5 linked regions of the Mus musculus genome follow. The protein of the gene in region 1 binds, or shares a complex with, the protein of each later gene. Links are inferred from orthologs where the notes say so. Each region holds a gene or a part of one and is shown in the gene's direction. Other genes may lie near its edges. The genes, in order: Cdk4, Cdkn1a, Ccnd1, Cdkn1b and Ccnd3.

The links.
Region 2: the proteins of Cdk4 (region 1) and Cdkn1a are in contact, whole or in part, in a crystal structure (PDB 6P8H), measured with the Homo sapiens proteins. The link is inferred for Mus musculus from reciprocal best matches to the Homo sapiens genes CDK4 and CDKN1A. Residues at the interface, in NP_000066.1 of Homo sapiens: Gly18, Thr19, Val20, Tyr21, Lys22, Ala23, Asp25, Val32, Leu34, Ser36, Met75, Asp76, Cys78, Ala79, Thr80, Lys88, Thr90, Val92; in NP_000380.1 of Homo sapiens: Met38, Cys41, Ile42, Ala45, Arg48, Trp49, Phe51, Phe53, Val54, Glu56, Asp62, Phe63, Ala64, Trp65, Glu66, Arg67.
Region 3: the proteins of Cdk4 (region 1) and Ccnd1 are in contact, whole or in part, in a crystal structure (PDB 2W96), measured with the Homo sapiens proteins. The link is inferred for Mus musculus from reciprocal best matches to the Homo sapiens genes CDK4 and CCND1. Residues at the interface, in NP_000066.1 of Homo sapiens: Gly45, Gly48, Leu49, Ile51, Thr53, Val54, Arg55, Val57, Ala58, Leu59, Arg61, Arg62, Ala65, Phe66, Asp76, Val77, Cys78, Ala79, Arg82, Ile87, Val89, Asp129, His132, Ala133, Asn134, Cys135, Ser285, Phe287, Arg288; in NP_444284.1 of Homo sapiens: Leu6, Cys7, Cys8, Glu9, Val10, Thr12, Ile13, Ala30, Lys33, Ala34, Thr37, Phe108, Lys112, Met113, Glu115, Pro118, Leu119, Thr120, Ala121, Leu138, Gln139, Glu141, Leu142, Val145, Asn146, Lys149, Trp150, Asn151, Leu152, Ala153.
Region 4: the proteins of Cdk4 (region 1) and Cdkn1b are in contact, whole or in part, in a crystal structure (PDB 6P8F), measured with the Homo sapiens proteins. The link is inferred for Mus musculus from reciprocal best matches to the Homo sapiens genes CDK4 and CDKN1B. Residues at the interface, in NP_000066.1 of Homo sapiens: Gly18, Thr19, Val20, Tyr21, Lys22, Ala23, Arg24, Asp25, Pro26, His27, Ser28, His30, Val32, Leu34, Ser36, Met75, Asp76, Cys78, Ala79, Thr80, Ser81, Lys88, Thr90, Val92; in NP_004055.1 of Homo sapiens: Glu53, Ser56, Lys59, Trp60, Phe62, Phe64, Gln65, His67, Lys68, Pro69, Lys73, Tyr74, Glu75, Trp76, Gln77, Glu78, Val79.
Region 5: the proteins of Cdk4 (region 1) and Ccnd3 are in contact, whole or in part, in a crystal structure (PDB 7SJ3), measured with the Homo sapiens proteins. The link is inferred for Mus musculus from reciprocal best matches to the Homo sapiens genes CDK4 and CCND3. Residues at the interface, in NP_000066.1 of Homo sapiens: Gly46, Gly47, Gly48, Leu49, Ile51, Thr53, Val54, Arg55, Val57, Ala58, Leu59, Arg61, Arg62, Glu64, Ala65, Phe66, Val77, Ala79, Val89, Asp129, His132, Ala133, Asn134, Cys135, Arg163, Ile164, Tyr165, Ser166, Tyr167, Gln168; in NP_001751.1 of Homo sapiens: His11, Pro13, Arg14, Ala15, Gly16, Pro17, Asp18, Arg20, Leu21, Arg26, Val27, Ser30, Leu31, Arg33, Leu34, Arg37, Tyr38, Glu74, Lys112, Leu113, Arg114, Glu115, Thr116, Pro118, Ile121, Glu122, Pro134, Arg138, Glu141, Val142.

The regions. Positions count from the first base shown.
Region 1 is NC_000076.6:127,062,291-127,066,334, forward strand, and holds the start of Cdk4 (cyclin-dependent kinase 4), read left to right. Parts: upstream 1-1,244; 5' UTR 1,245-1,469; intron 1,470-1,929; 5' UTR 1,930-1,945; coding exon 1,946-2,163; intron 2,164-2,294; coding exon 2,295-2,430; intron 2,431-2,544; coding exon 2,545-2,712; intron 2,713-2,864; coding exon 2,865-2,974; intron 2,975-3,662; coding exon 3,663-3,713; intron 3,714-3,810; coding exon 3,811-3,946; intron 3,947-4,044.
Region 2 is NC_000083.6:29,092,563-29,096,568, forward strand, and holds the start of Cdkn1a (cyclin-dependent kinase inhibitor 1), read left to right. Parts: upstream 1-1,206; 5' UTR 1,207-1,299; intron 1,300-4,006. UniProt on the Homo sapiens protein: Plays an important role in controlling cell cycle progression and DNA damage-induced G2 arrest. Involved in p53/TP53 mediated inhibition of cellular proliferation in response to DNA damage.
Region 3 is NC_000073.6:144,937,029-144,941,203, reverse strand, and holds the start of Ccnd1 (G1/S-specific cyclin-D1), read left to right. Parts: upstream 1-1,372; 5' UTR 1,373-1,510; coding exon 1,511-1,708; intron 1,709-3,101; coding exon 3,102-3,317; intron 3,318-3,750; coding exon 3,751-3,910; intron 3,911-4,175. UniProt on the Homo sapiens protein: Regulatory component of the cyclin D1-CDK4 (DC) complex that phosphorylates and inhibits members of the retinoblastoma (RB) protein family including RB1 and regulates the cell-cycle during G(1)/S transition.
Region 4 is NC_000072.6:134,919,121-134,923,206, forward strand, and holds the start of Cdkn1b (cyclin-dependent kinase inhibitor 1B), read left to right. Parts: upstream 1-1,280; 5' UTR 1,281-1,799; coding exon 1,800-2,274; intron 2,275-2,835; coding exon 2,836-2,954; 3' UTR 2,955-2,963; intron 2,964-4,086. UniProt on the Homo sapiens protein: Important regulator of cell cycle progression. Inhibits the kinase activity of CDK2 bound to cyclin A, but has little inhibitory activity on CDK2 bound to SPDYA. Involved in G1 arrest. Potent inhibitor of cyclin E- and cyclin A-CDK2 complexes.
Region 5 is NC_000083.6:47,596,460-47,600,189, forward strand, and holds the end of Ccnd3 (G1/S-specific cyclin-D3), read left to right. Parts: intron 1-960; coding exon 961-1,120; intron 1,121-1,543; coding exon 1,544-1,680; intron 1,681-2,149; coding exon 2,150-2,317; 3' UTR 2,318-3,230; downstream 3,231-3,730. UniProt on the Homo sapiens protein: Regulatory component of the cyclin D3-CDK4 (DC) complex that phosphorylates and inhibits members of the retinoblastoma (RB) protein family including RB1 and regulates the cell-cycle during G(1)/S transition.

The DNA.
Region 1 (4,044 bases):
ACAGAGTGAGTTCCAGGACAGCCAGGGCTACACAGAGAAACCCTGTCTCGAAAATCCAAAAAACCAACCAAACAAACAAACAAAAAAACACTAACTCCAATCCCCAGCACCCCCACCCCAAATCAATTTAAAATAGCTCTAGATTTTAGGCAATTTTTCACAAATGGGAACATGGTCCTTCATCCCATATCCCTAAGAGGTGGGAGACAATAAAGGAGTTGGAGCAGACGAAATCGTCACACAGATCTACCTCTGTCTAACTAGATTTCTGTAGGCAGACCATTTAGGAAACGCTGATCAGATCAAGAATATGTTCTAAGCTGGACTGGGGAAAAAATAGGAACATGACCCCAACGAGGAGTTGCAGGTTTGCAAAAGGACACGTCATCTTCCAGCAATGTGGTGGTGACTGACCCTGGACATGCTTACCCTGTCATCTGTTTATGCAATCACATATATATGTAGCAATCTTAGTGTAAAGACTCTTGTAAAATCAAGAACCCCTATTTTCAATCACTTCTTGCTGCTTTTAATATTCCTGGGGAGGTTTACAGGTTGGGAAGAGGGAGGGCATTAAATTGCTGCCCCCCCATACCCATACAGTGGCTTATTATATTTCCTTCTGTCCATCTTTTAATCCTAGTTTCCTCCTCAGATAGAAATTATTTATTCCCTGTTTTATAAGACCACAATTACCTATACTAGTTATCTTTATCATCACTTCAAAGGGCGAGTGACTGAGACACCAAAACAAAAACATCGCATACCAACTGGAAGGAAGCACTTAGTAAAATTGTGTTGAATGAATGAGTAAAAGAAAGACACAAATACGAATGTTTCCCCATGGCGGTGGAGTGGAAATGTTACAGCACCATTTCTGGCACCAGGATCTCCCACTAACACCTCGACCTCCCGCCCACTCAGAGACCCATAGTGAGACTGAAGATGCGCTCTGGCTCGGCCTTGAGCCCAGAGTTGAGAGCTGGTTGGCCCGGTTGCCATGACACCGCCTTGTGCTCCACCCTCTCTCGCCCCCACACACCCCCTCGGCAGTCAGGGTATGGCAGCCAGTCACGTGCCACACAGCGTAACCACACCTCTGCTTCCCAGCGCAAAGTCAAGGGGTCACGTGGGATAGCAACAGGTCACGTGGCCGTCAGGGCCCCGCCCCCTTCCCCACCACACCCCTCCCATCAAAGCAGCCCGGGTTGCCCACTGCGCAAGGGTGAAGATCACGTGTCCAGAACGTCCGGCGCCCGCCCCGCCCCCCGGGTTTCCGCGCGCCTCTCTGGCAGCTGGTCACATGGTGAGGGTGGGGGTGAGGGGGCCTCTCTAGCTCGCGGCCTGTGTCTATGGTCTGGCCCGAAGCGTCCAGCTGCCCGGGACCGATCCCCGGTGTATGGCGCCGCAGGAACCGGCTCCCGGGCCCAGATAAAGGGCCACCTCCAGAGCTCTTAGCCGAGCGTAAGGTGAGTGCAGTCTCATCCAGGATCGGGGGACCAGTCCCCGCCACCACCAGCACCCTCCAGCTCCCCACGCGTGCGCGTCGCTGGCTGATTATGGAAGGTGGCCCAATGGCGGGAAGTGGGGCCTTTGTGGTCGCGGGCAAGGGTGTGATTTTGGAGAGTGAAGTGCAGAATCTTCGGTGCAAACCCTGTGCACTGTGTGATCCTCTTTGTGCCTAGTGCGATGTCCTCCGAAAGGAAAGAAAGCATTCTTTTTCTTCCTCCGGGACAAAACGTGGCCGGAGGAGGAGGGTTTGATGGGAGTCTTTGTGTTACCTAAGGCGCGGGCCCTGGAAGTGTGGAGGGGTGGGATGTTGCTGATCGCGTTGGCGAGGTCTTGTGCAGGAGTTCCTTTGTTACCGCCGGGTCATCCCCCTCCTAACCGTGAGAGTGAGTTTGGTATTAGAAGCCTCTGTGATTGTAGATCCCCTGCTTCGAGAATGGCTGCCACTCGATATGAACCCGTGGCTGAAATTGGTGTCGGTGCCTATGGGACGGTGTACAAAGCCCGAGATCCCCACAGTGGCCACTTTGTGGCCCTCAAGAGTGTGAGAGTTCCTAATGGAGGAGCAGCTGGAGGGGGCCTTCCCGTCAGCACAGTTCGTGAGGTGGCCTTGTTAAGGAGGCTGGAGGCCTTTGAACATCCCAATGTTGTACGGTGAGAAGGTTGGATTGGGAGTGGGGCGGAGAGGACAATAGGACCCGTAAGGCAGGAGTGGGACCCTAGAACGCCAGAGGCCACGTTGAGACAAAGGGGACGACTAGCTGGTGATCATTTGTTCTTCTCAGGCTGATGGATGTCTGTGCTACTTCCCGAACTGATCGGGACATCAAGGTCACCCTAGTGTTTGAGCATATAGACCAGGACCTGAGGACATACCTGGACAAAGCACCTCCACCGGGCCTGCCGGTTGAGACCATTAAGGTGAGTAGGGGTGGGGCTGGGGGCGAGGGTGGACCGATCTTTGCAATAGAAGTTGTTGGGATTTTGAAGTGATACATAGTTTCCGGTGTTCTGTGCTTTCTTCTTGAAAAACAGGATCTAATGCGTCAGTTTCTAAGCGGCCTGGATTTTCTTCATGCAAACTGCATTGTTCACCGGGACCTGAAGCCAGAGAACATTCTAGTGACAAGTAATGGGACCGTCAAGCTGGCTGACTTTGGCCTAGCTAGAATCTACAGCTACCAGATGGCCCTCACGCCTGTGGTCAGTAAAAGGCGTTAGCCGACTAGGTTGTGATAGGGGTAGCTCTTGGTGGTTTCCCATAGCAACTGAGGAGTCTTGTACATGAAGTTTTCAGAGCCAGGCAGGTCTGGTTCGTGAGGTCGACACTCACTCATTTCTACTATTCTCTTCAGGTGGTTACGCTCTGGTACCGAGCTCCTGAAGTTCTTCTGCAGTCTACATACGCAACACCCGTGGACATGTGGAGCGTTGGCTGTATCTTTGCAGAGATGTTCCGTCGGAAGTATGGGACTAGAAACTTTTTGTTGTTAATGGTACAGGGTTAGTCCTGGCCGTAGATCAGGTTGGCCTTGAACTCACAGAGCCCTGGGATTAAAGGCATGCGTTACCACCGCCCGTATGGGACTTGAAGCTCTTAACCTACCTTCAGTTGCACATAGCTTTGGCTGCTTGTCTTACTGTGCTAGAGGTTGAAATCAGAACTCACACACACTCAGTAAATGCTTCCGTGCCACTGAACTTCACACTCCGTCGGCCCCCAAGTCTTTTACAGACATGCCTGTTCTTGACCATTCGCTTTTGTGCATGTATGGTACGGGACATCCAGCCTACCCAGTTCATACTGACCACCTTGCCTAGAACCAAGAAACCATATAGGCATGCCCTGGATTTAGGATCTTCCCGTTCCTCGTCTCCACACTCTCTAGTTGGGTCTACATAACGGTTACTCCTCAATTTTTTTTTTCTTTTAAAAATGTATTTATTTCCATGTATGTGAGTACACTCACTGTCTTCAGACACACCAGAAAAGGACTTCAGATTACATTACAGATGGTTGTGAACCACCGTGTGGTTGCTGGGAATTGAACTCAGGACCTCCGGAAGAGCAGTCTTATCTGCTGAGCCGTCTCTCCAGCCCCCACTCCCCTATTTTTGATATAACACATACTTTGAGTCTTTTTCTGCCTTAGGCCTCTCTTCTGTGGAAACTCTGAAGCCGACCAGTTGGGGAAAATCTTTGAGTAAGTATTTGATAAGGAAAAGGAAAGACATTTCCTGCTGCCGCGGAGACAGGAGCTGGGAAAGGCCCCTCCTAACAGAGTTGTCCTGTCCCCACAGTCTCATTGGATTGCCTCCAGAAGACGACTGGCCTCGAGAGGTATCTCTACCTCGAGGAGCCTTTGCCCCCAGAGGGCCTCGGCCAGTGCAGTCAGTGGTGCCAGAGATGGAGGAGTCTGGAGCGCAGCTGCTACTGGTACTGGACCTGGGCGGGGATTGGGTTAAGATAAGAAATACCGTGGCCTGGGGAACTGGCTCAGTGGGTAGAGTTCCTTTGCATAAGTGTGAGGACCT
Region 2 (4,006 bases), on another chromosome or scaffold:
CCGTAGATGTTTCTAGAATTGTCCTTTATCAATGTCATTTTAGTGGACTGTCTGGATCTTGGGAGGGGGAGTATTAGACATTTCCCTCATTTTGGACCCAGAGAAAGAAATCTGCAAGCAGAGTACTCTGGGCAGCTTGCCAGAGGTCAGCAGGTAGCCATTAGTGTGGTCCCAGTCAGGTCTTGATGCTCTCACTTGCAGGATGTATTATGGTGTGAGAAATGTTCACATGCTGGCTTCTGAAGAGGGGAGAGGGGAGGTAAGGAGCCTGGCGGCTGTTTTTCTTGGTAGTCCGTGGTCTGAGAACTGGACTCAATCTCCCCGATTTCTGAGGCGGTTGACAGCATCCTTTCCTTCTGTGGAACTGCTTTCCTCGTCTGTGAGACAGGGAGGAAATGATCGCGTTCTGGACCCGATGTCCGAGGGGCTTCTGGGAGGAGGGGGAAAAAAATCTCCAGACATAGTGGGACTTCTTGGGATTTTAAACTATTTTTTATTATTTATGGGCTTGTTTTGTTTTTGAGAGGGTCTCAATGGATAGCCCAGGCTGGTCTTGAACCTGTAACGCCCCTCGTGCCTCAATCTCCCAAGTATAGGATTCCAGGCTTTTGCTATCATACTCAAATGATCAATTTATTTATATTTGAAACAGTGTCACATATTTCAAGTTGGTCTCCATCGGAATAGGTAGCTGTCAAAACGACCTTGAATGCCTATTTCCCCCTCCTCACCCCCCACTGGGCGCTGTTATTACAGACGTGACCCCGCATGCCCAGTTTATGGGGCCCTGGAGCTCCAACCCAGGGCTTCACTTCCAGCAAGTTAGGCAAACACTGTACCAACAGACCCACCTCCCGAAACCCAGGATTTTATTTACTAATATCAGTGATCTGGAAAAGAGTTAGTCCTTCCCACAGTTGGTCAGGGACAGACCCATAAACACTCACTCAGCTCTAACTGTACTGTTGTTCATAGATGTATGTGGCTCTGCTGGTGCGCTGCGTGACAAGAGAATAGCCCAGGTGTGGGGGAGGGGAGGGCGCGCCCTCTTAACGCGCGCCGGTTCTAGCTGTCTGGCGCGGGCTTAGATTCCCAGAGGGGAGGGCGGGCCAGCGAGTCCCCGGGATCGGTGAAGGAGTGGGTTGGTCCTGCCTCTGAGGGGGCGGGGCCTGGGCCGACGCTATAAGGAGGCAGCTCGACGCCAACTGCAGCAGCCGAGAGGTGTGAGCCGCCGCGGTGTCAGAGTCTAGGGGAATTGGAGTCAGGCGCAGATCCACAGCGATATCCAGACATTCAGAGGTGAGAGCTTCGTGGCAGGGAACAATAGTTCTTCCCCGTAGCAATGCGCTGAGCCCAGTGGGTGTCCCCAGAAGTGTGTGTGTGTGTGTGTGTGTGTGTGTGTGGTGATGAGTGGATCACCTGTGTGTGTATATGTGTATTTGTGCGTGCCCGCCAGAGTCACAGGTGTGTCCGCGGCAGGTGGATGACGGGTGTGGGTCTGAGCGTCCGTGGTGGCTGAAGGCTTCGTTTGTTGGAGTGTGACGAGGGTCAGGCTATGTCGCGGACTCGGCATACAGAGTCTGAACTCCAGGACCACGGATGGCAGCCACTCTTCCAGTCCTTGGAGACCGGGTCCGAGCGATGGCTGGCGGGGATCGGCTACCGGGAGCTCGCTTCTGGTTGCCAATGTTTCTAGGGATTCCAGGTGCGGCTCGCCCAAAGCGTGAGAATGAAGCTCACGGTGCCCCGAGATGGGTCCTGGGTGGCGGTTGTGACAAGCTTCGGCGAGTCTATCTAGAGCTTAGCGCAGAGCGGTTCTCCGATCCCATGGGTGCCGCCGGATCCCCGGTCCTTGTGAACCAAGTGCCCTGTTTCGCGGTAGCCACCACCCCACTGGGCTCTGAGGTCAGCGCGAGCTGTGTCCTCCGCCCTCGGGATCGTGCCTGGGCACGTCCTAGAGGACAGGCGAGGAGGTGACTCATTGTGACAAGGAGACCCCGGGCACTGGATTGAGACCAGAATCGCGCCACAACTGGGGATGGGTCAGTGGCAGCCCAGAAGCCCCTTTCCCTGCCCGGGTACAGCCTCGTTCCTGCCCCGTCCCCTCCCCCGCGCGGCACAGTGACCTATTTGGCGGGCACAGTATGTTCCCAGGGAACCCGGGACACGGGGAGGTCCAGGACGCGGTGTCCGGTCCCCGCTCGGCGGCGCGCCCTCGGGGACAGGGAGTCTGGGCGGGTCCTGTCCACCCTGCCAGCCCGGGAAGCGCAAAGGGTCCCACCCACCGCGCCCACCACGACCCGGACCAGTGACCGTGGGGCGCGAGAGGAGCCCGCACTGTAGAGCGGCCGGTATCCTCGCGGAGTGAGGCTTACGGGTGCCGTACATCAGACGCCCCGGGGCTGGGGCCCTCGACCCAGTCCACACCCAGTGTAGGAAGGTGACCAGGCTGAGTGCGCCCACTAGGGCACATCCATTCCACTCGGAACCTCCGGGGACAAGGGCTACACTTGCACCCTGGTCGTGCGGGAAATACTTTGGGCTTGGGTTTGGCATTTGGGGGCGCGCTGGCAGCTTCCTCTGTCCCCTACGTCGCGTTTCAGAGAGGACACTCAGGCGGTTTTTTGTTGTCCTCGCCCTCATCTATTTTTATTTTCCAGGGATCTGACTCATCGCGTGCTTTGGGCGTGGAGATCAAGGTGGAGGGGGCCAGAGCTAAGAGCACTTTCTTTGCTCTCGAGTGTCCGTGCGTGCGTGTGTGCGTGCGTGCGTATGTGTGTGTGTGTGTGTGTCTGTGTACGTGCGTGTGTGTGTGTGTGTGTATGCGTGCGCGCGCGCGCGCTCAGTCTGGTTTCCCAACATAGGCGGGAATTTAGGAAGCCTGGGCTCATCGTGACGTGTTTTGTGGCCCGGGGTCCCCCTCCTTTCCTCTCCTCTCTCCACCCCAGGGTGACGCGCAGCTCCGGTGCCCAAGCAGTTTTGGCGGGCGGGCAGCGCCGGGCAGGAAACTGACTCACCACTCCTTGCTCGGCCTACGCGCCGCCTACCGAGCGCCATTTCCTGAGTGCACAGCGCCCCCTACCGGCATCAGTGAGGACTGCAAGGCCGGCTAGGCGCGGGTGGCACCACGGGCTTCTGCCACCCCCACCGCGGCTTAAAGGGAATTAAAATATGCCTGATGGCCAGATACAAGTGATTTTAGCAGGGTGTGCTAGCGGACTATTAGGGAGGCGTGGCCCTTGAGAGACAAGGTGGAGATCGTGCCCCTCTTGGGTTCCTGGTCTTATCTTCAGCTATGAAAAACTGGGGACTATCCAGCCTTAGCCGAGTCCATTGGTGTCTTCCCTTCCTTCCTCTGGCCCCTGTGAGCTACCGTCTGGGGAAGGGCACCAAACTTGTTTTTCGGCTCAGTTTGTCTGGGGAAATGAGCCAATCTATATTTCTATATCTATATAGATCTCTCTCTCTGTCTCTGTGTGTGTGTGAAAGAGAGACAGAGACAGAGAGACAAGCTTACAAAATGGCCCCAGCTACCAGTACTATATAGACAGGCTGGCCCAGTGGCCTGGAACTCATAAGGATCACGTGCCTCTGGTGGAGTGCTGGGATTAAAGACTCTCCCCATAACATGGAGCTCAGTCTATATTTAATAAAAAAGCTTTTCCAGCTGATTTTAATGGAGTCCTCTGGTCATGCCCCTCAAGGTGAGAAGACGAGAGAATGATCAATACTAGACCAAAAGGGTCTGAATTCAAACCCCGCTTGTGAGCCCTGTGCCTTTGGACACACATTCTGAACCTGGATTAGCTCTGCCGTAAAAGAATGTGATATTGCCATCTATTAACGATAGCTTTTGGTGGCTTACAACTGCAATCCCAGCACACTAGAGGCAGAGGCAGGAGGATGACTGAGTTGTACTAAAGGATGTGAATAGGCCCCAAGCTCTACCTGTAGGCAGAGGCCATCTGAGGTCCTTTAGGCCTCTGAGGTCTGCACCTTGAGAATC
Region 3 (4,175 bases), on another chromosome or scaffold:
GGGGTTTGCGTCTTGTGTGCCGCCTGGACGCTGTGCGCTCCTTTACCAGTTTCTTCTGGGACACGAAAGTATTCCGTGGGAAATGTGTGTGAATAGTTCGCCTAGCTTGAAGTCGGGTATTGTGAAAACGTTTCCAAAACTAGGGAACTAAATAATGGACGAAGGTGGTGGAACCGCTTTATTCTAAAAATATTTTATTTGAATCTATAAATTATAAACTTAGGAGTCCATTCAGTTAACCACGACCATCTATAGATTCTCTTTAAATATCACCTTATCGGCTCACAAGTTTATCTTGATTCTCACCAGCCGCCCCCCCCCTCCCCCAACTCAAGACTGCAATTCTAAAGGTGGAGAAACACCACCACCCTCAACGAAGCCAATCAAGAAGCTTCCGGTGGTCTGGTTCCTGGAAGGGCGACTAATAACTTGCAGCGATTTACTTTTCTTAATTAAAAAATAAATTAGGAAGGAGCCTATCGTGTCTCAACCTTTTCTTCAACGGTTTATTTTTCTTGGGCAAACCGCCTGCAGTGGAGGAGGGGGATACTGGGGGACCCTGGCCAGGATAAACCGGTCACTGTATGAAGACAAATCTCAGATCCCACCCCACCCCCCCAGCGAGGAGGAATAGATGAAATAATGGCCACCATCTTGAGCTGTTGCTGGAATTTTCGGGGTTTTATTTTATTTTTGAGCGAGCGCATGCTAGGCTGGGGATCCTTTAAAGTTCAGATACCCCTCTGGCCCTTTGCAACCACCCCAGTGCGCCAGGATGGAGCCTGCACGAGAGCTTAGGGCTCGTCTGGCATCTTCGGGTGTTACACAGTTCCTGAATTTTACACGTGTTGATGAAATTGAAAGAAGACAGGGACGCTGGGATTTCTAAGCAATGGGTCCGCCTGTGGGTGCCTCGTGGCGTACTCGGAAACGCACCCATTCTCCCGGTTTAAGAACAGGGTGTCCTTGCACCCCCAGGCTCCCCTTCCATACATTCTTCCTTGGCTTGCGTGTGGCCTGGCCTCCCTCCTAGCTGTCCTCCTGTCCAGAGCCGCCACTACCCCACCTCCACAGGTCTCGGAGGACCCTCTTAGGGAAAGAAGCCCCCCTCCCCCTTGCCCCGCTCTTTCCCAGTTTGGAGAGAAGCAGTCCGAGCGATTTGCATATCTACGAAGGCTGAGGGGGAAGGGTTTGGGCTTGCCCCCCCCCCGCCGCCCCCCCCCCTCACTGCTCCCGAGCCCCCTCCCCCTGCACCCGCCTCGGCCCTCCCCCTCCCCCTTTTCTCTGCCCGGCTTTGATCTCTGCTTAACAACAGTAACGTCACACGGACTACAGGGGAGTTTTGTTGAAGTTGCAAAGTCCTGCAGCCTCCAGAGGGCTGTCGGCGCAGTAGCAGAGAGCTACAGACTCCGCGCGCTCCGGAGACCGGCAGTACAGCGCGAGGCAGCGCGCGTCAGCAGCCGCCACCGGAGCCCAACCGAGACCACAGCCCTCCCCAGACGGCCGCGCCATGGAACACCAGCTCCTGTGCTGCGAAGTGGAGACCATCCGCCGCGCGTACCCTGACACCAATCTCCTCAACGACCGGGTGCTGCGAGCCATGCTCAAGACGGAGGAGACCTGTGCGCCCTCCGTATCTTACTTCAAGTGCGTGCAGAAGGAGATTGTGCCATCCATGCGGAAAATCGTGGCCACCTGGATGCTGGAGGTAAGAGACTTTACAGGCTGCTAGCTTGGGACCCCCTGGCAACTTGTTGCTATCACCAACATCTTCCTCCCTTCTCTTCCCTTCCGTCACGGAGTTTTCCGGGTGCGTTGCTAGGACTCGGTATTCACAAAATAAATAGATTGGGTCCTTTTGAACGAGGAAGGTTTGGGAGTTGGGAAGATGGGAATTCCTTTTCCTGGTGGAGGGCAGTCGGGGAGGGGTGCCTTCGAGGGAGGACGGTGTCAGCGACACCACAGAGGGTGCAGGCTGAGCTTCTGTGGCCCCCGCTTGTGCCCCATTCCTGCAGCGCCTCGGCGGGGGCCGCCCCTGCGCGTTTCGCCAGCTCAAGGGGGGAGGGGGCATAAATTTGATTTTTAAATTAATATCCATGGACACGTATGCAAGGGCCGCTCGTGCCAATATTATGCGCCATCTTTGCTCCTTTATTGCAAAGCAAAAAGTGTTTATTAATAATTGGGGGCAGGGCAGGGAGCGGCAGTAGGGGCGCTGGGACAGGCACGAGGGGCCTCGTGGCGGCCGGGAATCACTAAATAAGACAGTGTGAGGAATATTTGGGGTGGGGGATTCTTTGTTCAAACAGCGGACCTGGGTACCCCGCACACGCTGCCTGGCCCAGAGAAAACGCCAGGCTGCAAGGTCGCGTGGCCCCCTAGTCAATGAGACTGACTGTTGTGCGTGCGGTTCTGGATTTGGAGGAACCTGTCTAGGTCAAACTGGGGGCGGAGGGGGACAAAAGCACATTTTCAGATGTTCAGCAGGAGACTCAGGGGTCCCAAAATATTTTAAAATAATTTTTAAAGTGAGGCATAATGCCCTTGTAGAGGCAAACAGCGCCCGCACCCTGCAAAAGGGGGGCCCCCGGAGTTTGAGTTGCTGGAGCTCACCCCCCGATGTCCACTGAGCTCCTGACCCTCGGCTTGGATCAAGGGTCGTCCGATGGTTATTTTCAGGTCGTTTTTAGGCACCTAGTTATTTTTTAAATATTTTTAAATATTTTTTGAAAAGATGACGTCTGGGAAATGCAGCGCGGCGGCCTGGGACGCCACCATTGTGTCTCGCGTGCGCTCGAGCGGCGCCCAGCCCCCGGCGCCCCGCCAGCCCCGCGGTGGGGTTCTCTGGCTTGTGGCTTCCTAATTTCAACAGGGGACCGGGGTCTCCGTGGCCACCATTGCTTCGACCGGCCCCGCCAGCTGCCCAAAGACTTTCCCTTTCAGTTTCAGGGTGGGTGGGCACTGGGAACCCTCGGAGCAGGAGCGCATCCCAGGGAGTTGGCCACCGGAATCCCTCTCTGTGCAATCTAGGAGAAGGGAATGGGGTCGTATCGAGCGACGCCCCCCTCCCACGTTGACGGTCAGGGTCCGGATCCCCGCAGGTCTGTGAGGAGCAGAAGTGCGAAGAGGAGGTCTTCCCGCTGGCCATGAACTACCTGGACCGCTTCCTGTCCCTGGAGCCCTTGAAGAAGAGCCGCCTGCAGCTGCTGGGGGCCACCTGCATGTTCGTGGCCTCTAAGATGAAGGAGACCATTCCCTTGACTGCCGAGAAGTTGTGCATCTACACTGACAACTCTATCCGGCCCGAGGAGCTGCTGGTAACCACGTAACCCACCACCGACAATCCCTCTTTATGCTGGGTGGTGGGAGCTGCAAATGGCAGGAGATCCAGCCATCCATGGACAGATCTCCTGCCCCACGAAAGGCACCCGCACCGCACCGCACGACACCGAAATGGCAGTGAGCAGAATGCCAACCCATTCTACCTCTGTGCCCGCCCTCTTTCCGTACTGGACTCCCCACCATGTCTGTGGTGAAACCACTCTGAAATGTGGGCGGTGTGCGCCCCCTAGCGACGTGCAGGCCACGGCGCTGGCGGTGGGAGATTCTTTTTGTCCGCAGTCTGTCCCCTTAGTATTTCTACAGGCACATTTTGTTGTTTACCTGTATGGGGTCCCGGGTTGACCCAACTCTTTAGACCTTCTCGAATCAGCCTGCCTTCCTTTTGACCGTGTTCCTCATTCTCTGCAGCAAATGGAACTGCTTCTGGTGAACAAGCTCAAGTGGAACCTGGCCGCCATGACTCCCCACGATTTCATCGAACACTTCCTCTCCAAAATGCCAGAGGCGGATGAGAACAAGCAGACCATCCGCAAGCATGCACAGACCTTTGTGGCCCTCTGTGCCACAGGTAAGGCTCCACCCCCATTCTTCCCAGGAAGAGCGGGCTCCTTGCCACTCCCCCTGGGGTTAAGGCCTCTTTCCTTGCTATCTATTCTGAGCCCAGGGTGCAGATAGTTTGTTGGAGAGATAGATGATACTGGGTGGCACATTCTCTTGGCTAGTATCTTGGAGACCTAACAGAATGACACAGCTTCCCTGTGCCAACCTTTCCACTGCCAGGAAGTGGTACGGCCACAGCATGCTTTCTGAAGAGGTTTTTGCCTCTTTTCCTA
Region 4 (4,086 bases), on another chromosome or scaffold:
TGTTTAGCGCAAACCAAGACTGTTTGGGAATACTAGTGGGCAAAGCCCTTAAAATCTCACTGAACTCTGAGATACGACAGGCCTGGCTATTCTGTTTTAACTTCTGTCACTGTGCTCAGCAGTGATAGAGAAATGTGAAGTTGCCCAAGGAGCTGAAAAAAACCCACCCAACATTACTAGATGTTGGTAATACCGTGGTGGTGGTATTATAAATCACTTGCAAATCTAGTCTTAGATCCTTAGGAAAGTGTTTTCGCCCTTTAACAACCTGCAGCTCTCTAAAAGTATTTGCTTGTATTTGAATATTGTACTGAGTAGGTTGGAAGCAACAGGCTGGTGGGAGAAAAAAGAGAAGGAAGGCACTGTTGTAGTTGGCGTCTGGACTCAGGTGGAGGGAACGGCTTCGCCCGGGAAAGAACATAAGGGTATAAAGGCGAGTTCCCACACGCTATAGCAATGGCTTTCACTGTGCTTAGGAACCAAGAAAATCAGAACTGGCTTTTTCTGATTTCTGTCTGGGACGGCTCTAAAGAGAGGCTTGGGAGAGCACTGGGGGTTTTCAATCTCGAGATCCTACGGTGGAAGCGCTTGGATTCAGAAACACCCTGATAAGAGCGGTCAGTCCTGGCTTCTTTTTGAAACCACCTCCTGGCCTGTCCTACATAGCAGAGACTTCTGGGGTCAGGCTAAGCGGCCGATTCCGCACCCCAGCTAAGGCACCCTGCCGGGTGGGGGTGGGTGGGCTGCCCCAGGCCCTGAGCCAAGGTTTCCTGAATCTCTCGCATACCCTCCTCCATTCCCACCTCGGCGAATGCAGGTGGGCTGAACTAGCCACCGAAGCTCCTAATAAGCCGCCAGCGACCTAGGAGCCCACTGGTCCAGGCCCTAGGTTTCGCGGGCAAAGACCTGGAGGTCGCAGTCGGGAGCGGTGACGCGCCTGCCAGCGCAGCTCTGCAGCGCCGGGACCTAGATCCCCGGGTCCCTGCCTGGCCGCCGCGCTGGCCCCTCCCCAGCTCTCCGGCCGTTTGGCTAGTTTGTTTGTCTTATTTTTAATTTCTCCGGGGCCAGCCAGAGCAGGTTTGTTGGCAGTCGTACACCTCCGAGTAGTCACGCGACCAGCCAATGTCCTGGCGGCGCTACGGGGAGGCGGCGCGCTCGGGAGCGCGGAGAGGCGGCGGCGCCGCGCCCGGGGCCACCTTAAGAGCGCGCTCGCCAGCCTGGGCGGAGCGGCTCCCGGCGCCGAGACCAATGGAGCTCCTCCTCTGTTTAAATAGACTTGCAGTGTCAATCATCTTCTTCTTCGTCAGCCTCCCTTCCACCGCCATATTGGGCAACTAAAAAAGGAGGGGGGCTCGTGCTTTTGGGGTGTTTTCCCCCCTCATCCCTTGTCCCGACTCACTCGCGGCTCCGAGACTCGCGCGGCGGCAAGGTTTGGAGAGGGGCTGCGTTCGCGGGACACACGGGCTCGCCCCAGCCTACGCTCCGACTGTTTGCCACCTCCTCCTGCCTCCTCCCCTCCCTTCCCCGCCCTCCAGTACACTTGATCACTGAAGCCTCGAGCTGCGCGGCGGCTGGGGTGTCCCTGCGCCTCTCTTCCCCAGACCTGCGCGCTACTGCGGCTCGGGCGGTCGCTCGCCTGGCTCTGCTCCATTTGACTGTCTGTGTGCAGTCGCAGAACTTCGAAGAGGGTTTTGCGCTCCATCCGTGGCGTTTCGCTTTTGTTCGGTTTTGTTGTTTATTTCATTTTTTTTTTTCCGGAGAGAGGCGAGGCGGTGGTCCACACCCGCCCGAGGAGGAAGATGTCAAACGTGAGAGTGTCTAACGGGAGCCCGAGCCTGGAGCGGATGGACGCCAGACAAGCGGAGCACCCCAAGCCTTCCGCCTGCAGAAATCTCTTCGGCCCGGTCAATCATGAAGAACTAACCCGGGACTTGGAGAAGCACTGCCGGGATATGGAAGAAGCGAGTCAGCGCAAGTGGAATTTCGACTTTCAGAATCATAAGCCCCTGGAGGGCAGATACGAGTGGCAGGAGGTGGAGAGGGGCAGCTTGCCCGAGTTCTACTACAGGCCCCCGCGCCCCCCCAAGAGCGCCTGCAAGGTGCTGGCGCAGGAGAGCCAGGATGTCAGCGGGAGCCGCCAGGCGGTGCCTTTAATTGGGTCTCAGGCAAACTCTGAGGACCGGCATTTGGTGGACCAAATGCCTGACTCGTCAGACAATCCGGCTGGGTTAGCGGAGCAGTGTCCAGGGATGAGGAAGCGACCTGCTGCAGAAGGTAGTGACTCTTTGGAAAACTTAAAATGTCTGTCTGTCTGTCTGTCTCCGTAAGCGCCCCTTTACTAGACCCTGTTCACTTGCTTTCTCCAGCGTGTTCTGCTTTAGCTCTGGGAAATCGAACTTGTTTGAAGCTTAGGTTTGACATACCCCCTATCCGACTGCTTGCCCTGTTTATGATTTTGAAGTCAGAAGCCGGAGATAGTAAGATGTGATAACTTCCGTAGCCGAACGCATCACAGTTCCTCCCCTCTAGCCAGCTGTAGATACGTGACAAAAGTTCGGATGTTTACCAACTGCCTCCTCCTTGGCTGGGGTGGGGGGGTGGGGGTGGGGATGGGGGTGGGGAAGAGACGTGGGGTGTAGAATACTCCTTGTGTTAGTGGGAACAACCTTATTTTGTGTCCTTAGATGCTACCGGGGATGACGGGTCCAGGGGTCGTGGGTGGAGGTAGTGAGTGGGTTGTTCATCCCTTGGGCCTACTTCTGTCAGCCATTGTTGTCGATAATAAAGATGGTTTGTGTGTGTTCTCTTAAAAATTTCCCCTTGCCCCCCTCTTAGATTCTTCTTCGCAAAACAAAAGGGCCAACAGAACAGAAGAAAATGTTTCAGACGGTTCCCCGAACGCTGGCACTGTGGAGCAGACGCCCAAGAAGCCCGGCCTTCGACGCCAGACGTAAACAGCTCCGGTGGGTTAATGAGGAAGAACACAAAACTGACACCCCATCTGGGCTGCGCTCCCCGGGGGGCCTGCAGACCCCAGGACTGCTGGCAGATTAGTTGCCTGCCAGGAGGAATTACTTTCCTTGATCAAAAAAATTAACACTGGGGAAGGCTGGAATCACTTGAGGGGACTATAATGCAGTATTTGCACCCCAAGATATTTACCTTAAAGTGGAATCAGAATGAGGTTCCCAAGCAAGAACTTGCCACCAAGGCCCCAAAGGATAGGGACGGTCGTATCCTTATGAATCCCACTAAAACTTAGGCTGGGAATGACAGTTTTCCTTTCCAGTCTCAGTTCATGAGAACCCATTTCCCAGAGGTTCGTTTTGAGCCAATAGCCTATTTTGAACCATTTGAACTGTAGAAAAATGGCAAATATATACTTACATGTATGTTCTTAAGAGAAAAACTAGGTACCCATAGTGCACGTTTGATTAGGAGTGTGAATAGAGCTGCCGTGGCTCGAGTTCTTTTTATCTTTTGCTTTTGTTTTGGTTTTTGGTTTTTTGAGATAGGGTTTCTCTGTGTAACAAACAGCTCGGGCTATTCTGGGAATTGCTCTGTAGACCACGCTGGCTTCGAACTCACAGAGATCTGTATTGTCTCTGCCTCCTGAGTGCTGAGATTAGAGGTTGTGTGCCATCACCTCTGGGTACTTTTTTATTTTTTTTTAAAGTTGTGCCTTGTATGCTGGTAAATTTTGGAGAGAAAGGAACTTCATACTTAAAAAAAAAATTAGACTGGAAAGTTCAGAAGTACTAATGCTCCCACAGAATTGATTTTAACCCTGAGGTTACAAAGCAGAAGTTAAATGAACAGCTAGAGGAAGCAGCCTTCCCACACGTCAGCACCGTATGCTAATTTGCTGGAACAGGACGGTTTGGATGTTTATAGGGGAAATGGATAGTAGATGTTAGGACCAACTGAGAAGGTCCAACACAAGTGTGGATTTTTCCATGTGTCAAAAATCTCATCACCCCACTTGCCTAATTAGAGTAACCCAGCCCCTAAATTTACATAGATTGACTATTCATATGCTCTAACTACTTATAATAGTTTATAAGCTCCTTATGAAGAAAACCAGCA
Region 5 (3,730 bases), on another chromosome or scaffold:
CTGCCAGCTCCTCTGATCTTGGGGTAGGGCTGGGGTTTTTCATGTCATCTGGATACAGGGGAGCGTGCCCACCTAGTGAGGACTCCCACACTCCTGGTTGCCATTGGGGTGCCCCTTTAGAGGCTGGATGCTATTTGGTTATTAGGATAGAGCCCAGGGTGCAAGCTTCAAGCTTCCTTGCCTTACTTCTGGCTCTAGTCCAGGCTGTTTCTGTGGGGTTCTGTAAGAAGCCTGGGGCTGACACCTAGGTCATGGGACAAAGAAGAGGGACAGCTGTCACTGGGGGGGTCCTGGAAGATACTGGGTGGGGCTGACATTTCTACCTCAGTGAGGAGTCAAACCCATGAGTTCCTTCCTGAGATAAAACAATGAAGAAATCCTCCTGTGTGCAACTCGGAAGTGCAGCTCGGGCCAGGGCTAGGAACTTCATATGAGTAGACTGAGGTTGGGGCTCCTAGCCTCCTCCTAAGACCTCTGAATGGTTATGTAGGCTTGGACAGGTTTCTCAGGGGTCATCTGGATTCATCCTGTTTGGCTTGGATGCCCTTGTCTGGAGACAGGACCCACCCGTGATGTCCCACAAAGGGGGGTGTGGGTTGGGTTGGGCAACCTCCTCTTTGAGGAACCTTAGGAGTGGCTTCATGCTCATTTTGTTTAAGAGACCTGGATGCGATGTTGGGGAAGAAGAGATTTCCGAAGCCTGTGGAATTTAGAGTTGGTCTGTTTCAACTCACGCCCGCCTCAGACTCATGGGAGGATTAAGAGGGATTAATTCAGGTCGTTCTAGCACCTAGTAACCATCAATAGATGCTTAAGTGTACGGCCCTAGTTCTTCCCTGCCCCAAACCCGTCATCCCGCGGCAGCAGCCCCTGAAGCCAGAGGCAGAACTGTGACCCTTCTGTCAAATTCTCGGCCCCCTCGGCCGACTGCTGACTCCATGTTCCTTCCCTAACCCCCAGGAGTGGGAGGTGCTGGTCCTGGGGAAGCTCAAGTGGGACCTGGCTGCCGTGATTGCGCACGACTTCCTGGCCTTGATTCTGCACCGCCTGTCTCTGCCCAGTGACCGGCAGGCTTTGGTCAAAAAGCATGCCCAGACCTTTTTGGCCCTCTGTGCTACAGGTAAGAGCCAACCTGGGGGAAATTGTGGGGTTTTTTGGGAAGGATACGTAGTAACAGCCAGGAGATGGTTTCAGTACTCAGACCTGTGTACAGTGATCTGGGAATACTGAATAAAAGTTACTTGCCTAAGGTCTTCATAGCAGGGTTTTGGATATTTTGTTGTTCCTGGTGCCAGGTACACCTTGGGTAGATGGAAAGTTTGTTGTTTGCTCATATCTCAGAGGAGGTCGGGCTGTGGTCTGGTGGGTCAGTGATAGGGTGCATTCCTCAGTCAGATTGCCAACACTGTGAGCACACACCAACCAAACCCCCTCCTCCCTAGGATCTACCTTGTCCCCTTGGCTCAGTGTCACCCCATTCACCACTGGGGGTTCCCAGGATGCAGCCTGGTGTGTTGTAAGATGGCTCCCTTTCTTTTCCCAGATTACACCTTTGCGATGTATCCTCCATCCATGATCGCCACAGGCAGCATTGGGGCAGCCGTGCTAGGCCTAGGCGCCTGCTCTATGTCTGCGGATGAGCTCACAGAGTTGCTGGCCGGGATCACAGGCACTGAAGTGGTAAGTCTCAGCCCCTCGCCCCCCTTCACAAAATTAAAAAAAAAAAAAAAAAAAGCTGTTCCTCTGAATCTCCAGCAGAGGGCACCATCCACCCGGGCCCCCAACTATGATTGTACGCCCTTGCCTGCTTCTCTGGCCTTTTATCTCTGGCTCCAGTCTGGAGAGGAGTGGGTGGGGTGAAGGACACTTGGCATGTAGATACCCTTCTCTTGACATCTCTTGACAAGTGCTGTGTCTCGGACAGGGGTGGGGGACTTGGTGTCAGATGGAGGGTTGCTCTCACACCCTTGCCACATCCTCTTGCCAGTTTCTGAGAACTAAAGACCTGATTCCTGGGCTGGGCTGTGGCCTAACCTCCCCAGACTTCCCAGTGCACAGGGGGTGGCCTTTCCACCTGCTTGCTGTCAGTGCTGTGAGGGAGAGAGAGAGGCCCAAGGATGAATGACCTTGTTTTTTTTTTTTTTTCTAGGACTGCCTGCGAGCCTGCCAGGAACAGATCGAAGCTGCCCTCAGGGAGAGCCTCAGGGAAGCTGCTCAGACAGCCCCCAGCCCAGTGCCCAAAGCCCCCCGGGGCTCTAGCAGCCAGGGGCCCAGTCAGACCAGCACTCCCACAGATGTCACAGCCATTCACCTGTAGCTTGAGACAGGCCCTCTCAGGCCACCAAGCAGAGGAGGGGCCCCTGCCACCCCCTCCCTGCCTCTAGAACAATCCATGCTATATCTGAAGCCCGAGGGGGGCTCTCCTTCCCCCTCACAAAGCCCAAGGGGCCAGGTCCTGCCTATCCCCACAGTGTGCACTAAGGGGTTGCATGGTCATGAGGGGCGTCTTCATGGCCAGTCAGCTCCTCTTCCTTCCCACTCAACCAGCTTGGCTGTCCTGGGCCATGATGGTCAGAGAAATACAAACAGGTAAAATCCACACACCAGCATTTCTTTTGAGTCCCTCTTCTGTCCGGGGCTCCAACCTTCTCAGTTGCCAAAACGCCCCAGTACCTTCCAAAGGTGTTGGCCCTTGCAGGCTCCTTCGGGCATCCCGATAGAAGCTTATGAGGAGCTGCCCTAGATGGCCTCTGTGTAATCCGTACTCCAGCTGCTCTTAGAGGGAACAGCCTAGGCTTTGGCCAGAGCAAGAACCCATACACTGTTGCTTTGCTTGCTGCTTAGCTTCTGTGATTGTGGGGTCTTAAGGGTGCCGTGGTCATTTTAATTTATTGCTTTGAATACAACTGTAAGAGGGTACAGTGAGGCCTGTACCCCACAAGTGGTGGTAACCCTGGCGGTTGCTCTTTCCCTCCCTTCTTCCCCTCTGCTACTGCTTTGTGGCCCAGGAGCTGCTACAGCCTGGGATGGGGGTCACGCCTTCCTCTCCTCACCCCTCCACCTCATCTTCATCAGAGCAGGGTTAGGTTGGGATGGATCGATGCCGTGGAGGTGACAGAGCTATCTGGAGAGAGGGCAAGCCCTAGGGTCACAGGTCTTTCCTCGGGCCACAAGGTTTGGGCTGGTGGCCCATTTCTATCATGCTGCCTTAATAAAGATTTCGGAATAAAGGTGGCTCTTGTGATCCCTGGGGTTGTGGGAGCTGGGGGGCACCAGGCAGCTGTCTTAGGCAGAGCACTTTTCCTGGGAAGGGTTAGAAAGGTGCCGCCTAGGCAGCATGGCCTGCTTTCCTTGTGGACGAATTACAGCGCTAAGGAGCAGCCAGCATTACCCAGAGGGCTCATCGGGAGACAGGGCTGGACCCTTACACAGAACCCTAAGATTCATACGACATCAGGCATGGTGCTTCCTTAGCACACTCAGGGCAGACAGAGGAAGAGGGCTAGCCTGTGCTACATAGTGCAGAACTTTGGCTCAGCGACAGCACTGGCTACTCCTGAGAGCCTGGACTCAATTCCCAGCAGTTAACCATTTTAAACTCCAGTCTCAGGGATCTGATGCTGAGGCACAAAGCTCAGAATGTATTAAAAAAACAAAACCGGATGAATGGGGTTAGGGTGTGGCTGGAAGCACTTCCCCTAGCAGGGAGGCAGGCCCTTCCTCAGTGGTG